Linked DNA regions of Yarrowia lipolytica. The protein of the gene in region 2 interacts with the protein of the main gene of each other region in a pairwise test. Links are inferred from orthologs where the notes say so. Each region holds a gene or a part of one and is shown on either strand. Other genes may lie near its edges.

Region 1 (4,175 bases), on a different chromosome or scaffold from region 2:
TGCTTGTACTTATATACCGGCACTCGCTTTATCTCTCCTCTCTCCTCTGACCACGCTTTATTACCACCATGTAAAGAGAGGGGTGCATGAAAGGAGGACGTGTCACAACACACTAAGGCATGGGCGGAGCGATGGCAATGGGCGCCCCCGGATCTTTTGACGTCTGAGGAATCTGTCATATCTTGCTACTTGCATCGCTCCTGTCTCTTGATCGATTATCGTGTTCCGTGGGTGGGCTAAAGTCAATGTGCCGAGGTTGGGGCAGTGCAGCTTCACAGTATGTATTGTACCGGTCCGTGCGGGCCCATACAAGCACCGGCCACCGTTGGCTGCAGAAAAAAACCGTTTGATGCACAATGTAAAGTTGGGGGAGGAGGGGGAAACGGGGTCGGCGACGACATAATGGAATAAATATCAGACGTCCACAACATAGGTGCGTTTTACTGTATAGGTGCGGTGCGTTTTTATGTATTGTATTACGACTTCTCGAACGGTACATGCGCTATCAAGCTATTGAGGGACGCTATTAAAGTAGCAGTTAGACTAACTCTAGATGAGACTATGATACCGTAGATCCCACCGATTAAACACAGCCCTGCTCATGTGTAGATAGATAAATGGTCATGACCAGATCGCTCCGCCCCCTGCATGCACAGAAGGATCAATACGAGTAAAGCTGTATGTAACGTGTACCTGTATTCGTATAGTATTGCTCTTGTCGCAGACTGGTATCATACCATCATGGCTACAGTCTGTACTGCACCAGTTCACCAAGTAATTAGTGGAGGTATCTTCTTCACTGCTTGCTGATGGCATCTGAGGGTATCTGATAAAGAGTAGTGATACCAGTTGAAGTACTGTAGCAAGTCTCTTGATGCAATCAGATACTTGTCTTGTACTCCACCGCATCAGACATCACTATCTGACGGAGTAGTTGTCTTCGTGCTGACAGTCATGTGCAGCATACAAGTAACCAGGCTATGTATGCTATCGTTACTATTTCTAACTTTGGTTGAAGACATAAACAAAAACCAATACGAGGCTTCTACGATACAAGAAACCGGTGCTTGCTATTGTATCTATAATACCACAACTATTGATCGCAATGAGGTATCGTGCAATCTGTTAAACAACTAAACAAGTAAACACGCACTCAGTACAAGTCGTCGTTCATCCTCTTCAATGGTTGTTTTCTCACACCGTCGTATAACCGTACTCGCAATTATTGCCTCCCCCCAATCGCGGGAATCGTACCCCCATGCACCTTACCGTTAGGACGCATGCCGCTCAGCCTCCACGATAGCCTTTGTGTCTCGAAATAGCTACATTTGCGAATGTACTTATAGATAGCCAGCTCGGATCTGTGGTGGTCAATCAATTTCCCTAACACAGCTGACCAGCAGATCCTCCTTGCAGTAACACACGGCTCTACTTCCACAAAGTAGTTAGCCGTCCACATTGCATCATCACTACTCCATCTCACCTCCCAGCAACTTTATTCAGTGGCAATAGTCGCTGCTTGTAGCTACCAACCACACCTCATAGAGGTAACCGCACCCACTCACCACCCTCACAGACATGTTCAGATCGTCGGAGCCCGTGTCGCCACTGGATGACGTGGTCACCAAGGCCACGGACGAAAACCTGACGACGGAAAACTGGCAGTACATACTCGACGTTTGCGACGAGGTGAACAACGACCCCGAAAATGGCGCGAAAAACGTCATCACCAGCGTCACCAAGCGTCTCAACAAGAAGTTCGCCAATACCCAACTGTATGCGCTCACGCTGGTCATCTCGTTATCGTCCAACTGTGGCTCCAAGATGCAGCAGGCCATTGCGTCCAAGGCGTTTGTCAAGACCCTCATGAAGCTGGCCAACGACTCGGCCGTCCACAAGAGCGTCAAGTCCAAGGTGCTTGAGGTCCTGGAGCAGCTGACGGACGAGTATAAAAAGGACCCTTCGTTGCGGCTAATTGAGGAGGCCTACGACGAACTGAGCAGGAAGAAGCCCGATCTCAAGGCCCCCGCCAAGCCCGAAAAACACAAAATCACCGAGCAGGAGCGCCAGCGAGAGGAGGAGGAGCTGCAGATGGTGCTGGCGCTTTCGCTGAGCGAAACAAACACCTCTGGCTCATTTCAGCAGCATCACCAGACCAACTCTCAGATCCAACCTCCTGTTAACAACTCTCATTTTGCCACGGACCCTCATCAGCAACAACAGCAGCAACAACAGCAGCACAACCAGCAGGATTACGGGCAGCAGTCCAACAACGCCAACACCAACAACAACGCTCCGGCAGTCGAGGACCCCACACCTACGGTGGCCACGGTGTCCCGAGTCAAGGCCCTGTATGACTTGAACGCCACAGAGCCCGGAGAACTGTCTTTCCGAAAGGGCGACATAATCACAGTGCTGGAGTCAGTGTTCCGAGACTGGTGGCGGGGATCTCTGCGGGGCCAGGTCGGTATCTTCCCACTCAACTACGTGATGCCTATAGCCGAACCCACTCCCGCGGAGATTGAAAAGGAGGCCCAGGAAGAGCTGTCTGTGTTCTCTCAGAGCAGAAATATTGAAAAGCTGCTGGCACTGCTGTCTTCGCAGGACGCTGCCCGGCTTAATCTCGCCGAAAATGAGGAGCTACAGTCCTTGTACCACTCCACCCTTGCCATCCGGCCCAAGCTGGTCAAGCTAATCGACAAGTATGCCCAGCGAAAGGACGACCTGGTGGAGCTCAACGAGAAATTTGTCAAGGCCCGAAGAGTGTATGATGACCTTATGGAGGCCAGCATGCCACAGTATGGAGGAGCTGCTGCAGCAGGTGGATATGCAGGTGGTGCACAGGGTGGAGCTCCTGCAGGATATCCTAGTGCTCAGGGCGCTCCCGCAGGTTATCCAGGTACTTCAGGTACTCCAGGTACTCCTGGTTACCCGCCTCAGTATCCTCCCCAGCAACAGCAACAACAACAGCAACAGCAGCAGCAACAGCCTCCTTATCCTGTTCAGCCTCTTCAGACACATCAACAGCAGCCACAGCAGCAGCAACAGCAAACTCCATACCCCGTGCATCAATACGATAACACACAGGCGCATGGAAGACAGGGATCTACTGACTCTGGAAGATCACAGCGCATGTATTCCCAGGGAGGCCAGGGAGGCCAGGGACCCACAGATCTGCATCCCGCGACCACCGGAGGAAGTGGGTACGGATTCCCTCCTCAATATGGGGGTGGAGCACCTTCTGCTCCCTCTGCTCCCCATGGAGGTGCTGGAGGCCCCGGAGGCCCCGGAGGCCCTTCTGCCCCTTCTGGAGCCCATTCTGGAGCCCCCTCTGCGCCTCCTAGCCATGCTCCGGCTGCTTCTGCTCCTCACGGCTACGGATCTCCTTCTACAGCTCATTCGGCCCCCTACGGAACCTCCCCCGCGGCCTCTGCGCCCGCCAGACACTCGCCATACATCAATGGCACGCCCACCAGCAACCTGGGACAGCAATCGCCGGTCACCAGCCAGTCGATCCCTATTCCCAACAACAACAACCTGGCTGCTCCACCGGTCCAGGGTCTGTACTCTCATGGCACCTCACCGCCTCCCCCGGTGCCCAATGCAGGCCCCCCTCCCAGTAATTTTTACGAGTAGTTAATGAGCATATGACAATACGAGTGTGCAGTACATACTTGTAGACGTATCCGTGGGTCAATCTGAGTAAGTGTGTGTTAAGGAAACGTCCACTTTTGACGATATCTGTAAGTACAATCAACGATAGAATACCGTTAGTGCCAACGATTCAAATGGGTCCATTGCGTGTAAGTACATTTGTTCCAATACCCTCGACATAGTGGGTCTGGTGACTACATCTCATTAGCTACAATACAATCAAATCATCAATAAATCAAGTGTCAGAGTTTGCACCCTTCTATATGTTGGCAACGCATCCGTCTACTCGTTCTGCTTGGCAAACTCGTTGATAAAGTCCTTGAGCAGCTCGGCGCTCTGGACAGTGACGGCGTTGTAGTTGGAGATTCGGATACCTCCGACGGATCGGTGGCCCTTGAGACCAGTCAGACCCTTGGCAGCCGCCTCCTTGAGGAACTTGTCCTCGAGACCCTCGCCATGGATGGTGAAGACAATGTTCATCTTGGACCGGTCGGCCACAGCAACAGGCAGGTTGTACAGCT
Region 2 (4,264 bases):
CGCCTTCCCTACTTGTGGTCTGGCCATGGCCGAGTCCGAGCGATACCTGCCCGTGCTCATCACCAAGCTGGAGGCCGCTCTGGAGGAGTACGGTCTGCGACACGACTCCATTGTCATGCGAATGACCGGTTGCCCCAACGGTTGTGCCCGACCTTGGCTTGCCGAGGTGGCTCTGGTTGGAAAGGCCTACGGAGCCTACAACCTGATGCTGGGTGGTGGCTACCAGGGCCAGCGACTCAACAAGCTCTATCGATCTTCGCTCAAGGAGGATGAGATTCTGGACATTCTCAAGCCTCTGTTCAAGCGATGGTCTCTGGAGCGAAACGATGGTGAGCATTTTGGAGACTTCCTTATCCGAGTTGGTGTCATCAAGGAGACCACTGCCGGAAAGAACTTCTGGGAGGGCGTCGAGGAGGAATAGACGGTGTTATTATTATTATTATAGCTATTATCAAAAAAAATAATTAATGTATTATACGGATAAAGAGGTGAGTAAAACTTGTATTGCAATTTTATAACATCGTACAGTAATGCAGAGTTCCAACCTTAACAAACATGTGAAAAATGGCTGGGAAATTAGTTGGATAATTAATTGAATACTGGCTTCAAAAAGATCTGCTCAAAATGCACAGCAAAAAATGATATACTGTACAGCTGTACATAATTGAGCAGGAGAATAGAAAGTGAAAAAGATATTGCCTTCGACCAGATTTGAACTGATGATCTCAGCATTACTAGTGCTGCGCCTTACCACTTGGCCACGAAGGCATCTGTGAGATCCGCAGTAGACAAATTGCTACAGGACAGACCAAAAAAGTCACGTGGCTGGGTATTTCAAGGGGGCCTAGCAGCGCCAATAGATTACCAATTGAGACAGTAGAAAAGGGGTTACAATCGAGATGCTATTTTAATTGAAAAAAAAAAAACATGTTTCAAAGTTGTTAATACCGCACAACATACCTACTACAGTACATACATACTTGCTCCCCTCAGTAACACACATCCACAGTAAAAGTATCCCAACATCGACTGATTAGGTTCGAGGGCCTGCAGAGGAGGTTGAACTCTTGGATCAGTTGATTCGGGAACTTTTGACAGATTAGACATCGTAGTTGAGAGTCTCCTCCAAAAAAGAGACCAATAACTCCATTAATTCGGGTCACGTGACTGCCACACCGCCGTCCAGCTCATTATCCCTCACTCACCTTGAGGCGAGGCTGCAACTCTCGTGCATTGATGAGATGCAGAGGAGGTTGTGCTCTCACATGTACTTATGGCACAATCGAGAGACAAGTCATATGGATGTAGTGGTAGAAGGGTCTGGTCACATGATCGTGATAGAATATCGACAGCGCTTCTCAGTTTATCTGAAACATTTCGATTGGCCCAACTAGCGCCTTTTCTTTTCAAGTGCGATCCAAGTGAACCTGCTAGAAGCTTCACTTACTACTACCCATCCCTACATACCCTAACCCAATACATGTGGCAACATGCGTAATAACCCCAGAGATATACGTCACACACTCCATCATACATCAATTGACGTCTCATCATGGCACCGACTTACAAGATTTCGAAGACGTTGATTGGACACGAGCAGGACGTCAAGGGCGTCTGTTTCGTTGACTCAGAAGTCGTCTCCTGTTCTCGAGACACTAGCGTGCGAAAGTGGCACTCTGACAGATCGTCAGATGCGATATACAACGGTGGCGGGTTCATGAATGCGATTGCTGCGGCCCCCAACGGCCGTCTCATTGCTGCAGGAGGCCAGGACAAGATGATTGCGCTCATTGGCGACGACACAGCTCGATTTCTGGTTGGTCACGAGGGAAATGTCTGCGCTCTAGACCTTGCTGACGATCTGGTCATTTCCGGCTCCTGGGACAAGACCGCCAAGGTCTGGAACGACGGCCATGTGCTGTACAACCTCGAGGGCCACGCTCAGGCTGTTTGGGCCGTCAAAATCGTCTCTGCCAAGGAAAATGTGTTCATGACGGCCTCTGCTGACAAGACCATCAAGCTGTGGCACCACGCCCAGTGTGTCGCCACCCTGCCTGCTCACACCGACGCTGTTCGAGGCCTTGCTATTTTGGGCGACGGCAAGTTTGTGTCTGTCAGTAACGACACCACAGTCAAATTATGGCAACTGTCATCTGATAACAAGTCAGCAAAGGAGATCAAGACGCTCGACGGTCACACATCGTTTGTCTACTCCGTCGCAGCAATTAGCCCCACAGAGTTCATCACTACAGGCGAGGATCGAACCGCTCGAATCTGGAACGCCACTACAGGAGAGACTACCCAGGTCATCACTCTTCCTTGTGTTTCTGTGTGGTCTGGCGCCACAGCCTCCAATGGCGACATTGCCGTCGGAGGCTCCGATGCCAAGGTGCGCGTCTTCTCACGTGACTCGTCACGATTCGCAGATGTTGTTGAAATCGAGGACTTTGAAGCCTCTGTGGCAAACTCGGCTATCGGCAAGGACCAGGTCGGAGAGATAAACAAGGACAAGCTGCCTGGACCCGAGCGTCTGTCTCAGCCTGGCACAAAGGAGGGAGAGGTTATTATGGTCAAGGGCAACGGAATTGTGGAAGCTCATCAGTGGTCTGCTGCTTCTTCCAGCTGGACCAAGATTGGAGAAGTAGTTGATGCACCCGGCGCAGAGCGAAAGAAGGTGGCTGAGGACGGAAAGGAGTACGACTACATTTTTGACGTTGACGTAGAGGAGGGACAGCCAGCACTCAAGCTCCCCTACAACTCCAATGAGAATGTCTATGCAGCTGCCCAGCGGTTCATTGACCGGTACGAGCTTCCCCAAGGTTACTTGGAGGAGATTGTGCAATTCATCATCAAGAACACCGGTGGCGTCAACATTGGAGGCGATTCTGGCCCTGCGCCTGATCCCTACGGGGGTCGATACGTTCCTGGTGGAGAAGTGAGCGGCCCTACGCCTTCTGTTTCTGCTTCTGCAGCAGCAGCTGCCCCCTCTATCGAACCCGCTCCTTTCCCACTAACAACTCCTCTTTTCATCAACACATACAACGCTGCGGCTCTCAGCAAGGGTCTGGACAAGTTTAACTCGTCCGAAGCCGCCCCTTTGGCTGATGACGAGCTTTCTGCACTCAAACTTGCGCTTTCCAAGAACGAACTGGGCTCCTCCCTGCTTTCAGTGGTGCTCAAGATTGTTTCTAGCTGGTCTGAGCCTCTTTTGGGACTGGATATTCTGCGCCTCATGGCTGAGAAGCTGGGCGCTCCAAAGCCTGAGATTGTCACAGCCGTTGAGGGCGCTGTTGCATCACCCAAGCTGGCCCACAAACTCATGGGGGTTCGGTTTGTGGTCAACAGCGTGGCTGCCAAAAATACATTCCCCGACGTTGAGTCGGTCATTGATACCGTTAAAGGGACTCTGGCTGACTACAAGTCGGAAAAGCTGTTTGGCCAATATGAGACTGCTGTTGCCACACTGCTGCTGGATCTCGCTGTGAACGCATACGACGGTGGCAACGTGGAGGCTGCCTTTGGTCTTCTGCAGAGCATCAGTGAGGTGTGGGAGAAGGTGACTGGCAACGAGGCCGTCTTCCGACTGGCCGTGGCTGCGGGCACGCTGTTTTCTCTCAAGAGCGAGGAGGTTGCCAGCTGTTATGATCTGTTCAACTATGCTTCTCTGGTGGCTCGTCCCTATGATGAGCTTCGGCTCAAGAAGGTCATGGTTAATCTCACCAAGTAATATAGCTGACATAGAAAGATGAATGAATATACGACTGAATGAAGCGACACATGTAGGATGTTTGAATTGTAGCAACCAGAGGAAATATACCACAAGTATGTGATTTTTCTACTAAATCCCCCATATTAATCATTCTCACCTCTATGCTCACTTCAGGGTAACTCACGTTACGCGTCACGTCGCATGCAAGGTTGGGTGTTAATTACCTGAGGCCAGTGTTTCTTTCATCAACATCACACATTTCAAAAACACAGCCATGAGTTTCCCCACAACCCCACGAATCAACAGCGGTCTTCTCGGCGACTTCTATGGAAAGACGGTGCGAATCATCGGCAAGGTCGAGTCTCAGGACGGCGAGATCGTCAACCTGGATGCCAACGGGCCCGTCAAGGTCAAGTCTGACGGCTCCGATTACGTGGTTGGCCACTTCTACGAGGTTGTTGGCAAGGTGGAGGGAAGCGATCAGATTGTTGGTCTGACCGCCACCGATTTCGGAGAGAACATCAGTGAGTAGGAGTGACGGAACGACGGACTAAC

The links. The genes of interacting proteins can lie anywhere in the genome.
Region 1: the proteins of YALI1_D14004g (region 2) and YALI1_F09563g interact in binary tests that used the Saccharomyces cerevisiae proteins (3 or more experiments, as listed by UniProt). The link is inferred for Yarrowia lipolytica from reciprocal best matches to the Saccharomyces cerevisiae genes DOA1 and HSE1.

The regions. Positions count from the first base shown.
Region 1 is NC_090775.1:954,748-958,922, forward strand, and holds YALI1_F09563g (uncharacterized protein), read left to right. Parts: upstream 1-1,578; coding exon 1,579-3,636; downstream 3,637-4,175. Other genes in the region: YALI1_F09598g (uncharacterized protein), read right to left, coding at 3,937-4,175. UniProt on the Saccharomyces cerevisiae protein: Component of the ESCRT-0 complex which is the sorting receptor for ubiquitinated cargo proteins at the multivesicular body (MVB) and recruits ESCRT-I to the MVB outer membrane.
Region 2 is NC_090773.1:1,397,745-1,402,008, reverse strand, and holds YALI1_D14004g (uncharacterized protein), read left to right. Parts: upstream 1-1,552; coding exon 1,553-3,727; downstream 3,728-4,264. Other genes in the region: YALI1_D14058g (uncharacterized protein), read left to right, coding at 1-421; YALI1_D13976g (uncharacterized protein), read left to right, coding at 3,984-4,233. UniProt on the Saccharomyces cerevisiae protein: Ubiquitin-binding protein involved in protein ubiquitination, sorting and degradation. Acts as a ubiquitinated substrate-recruiting adapter for chaperone ATPase CDC48 by binding mono- or polyubiquitin chains.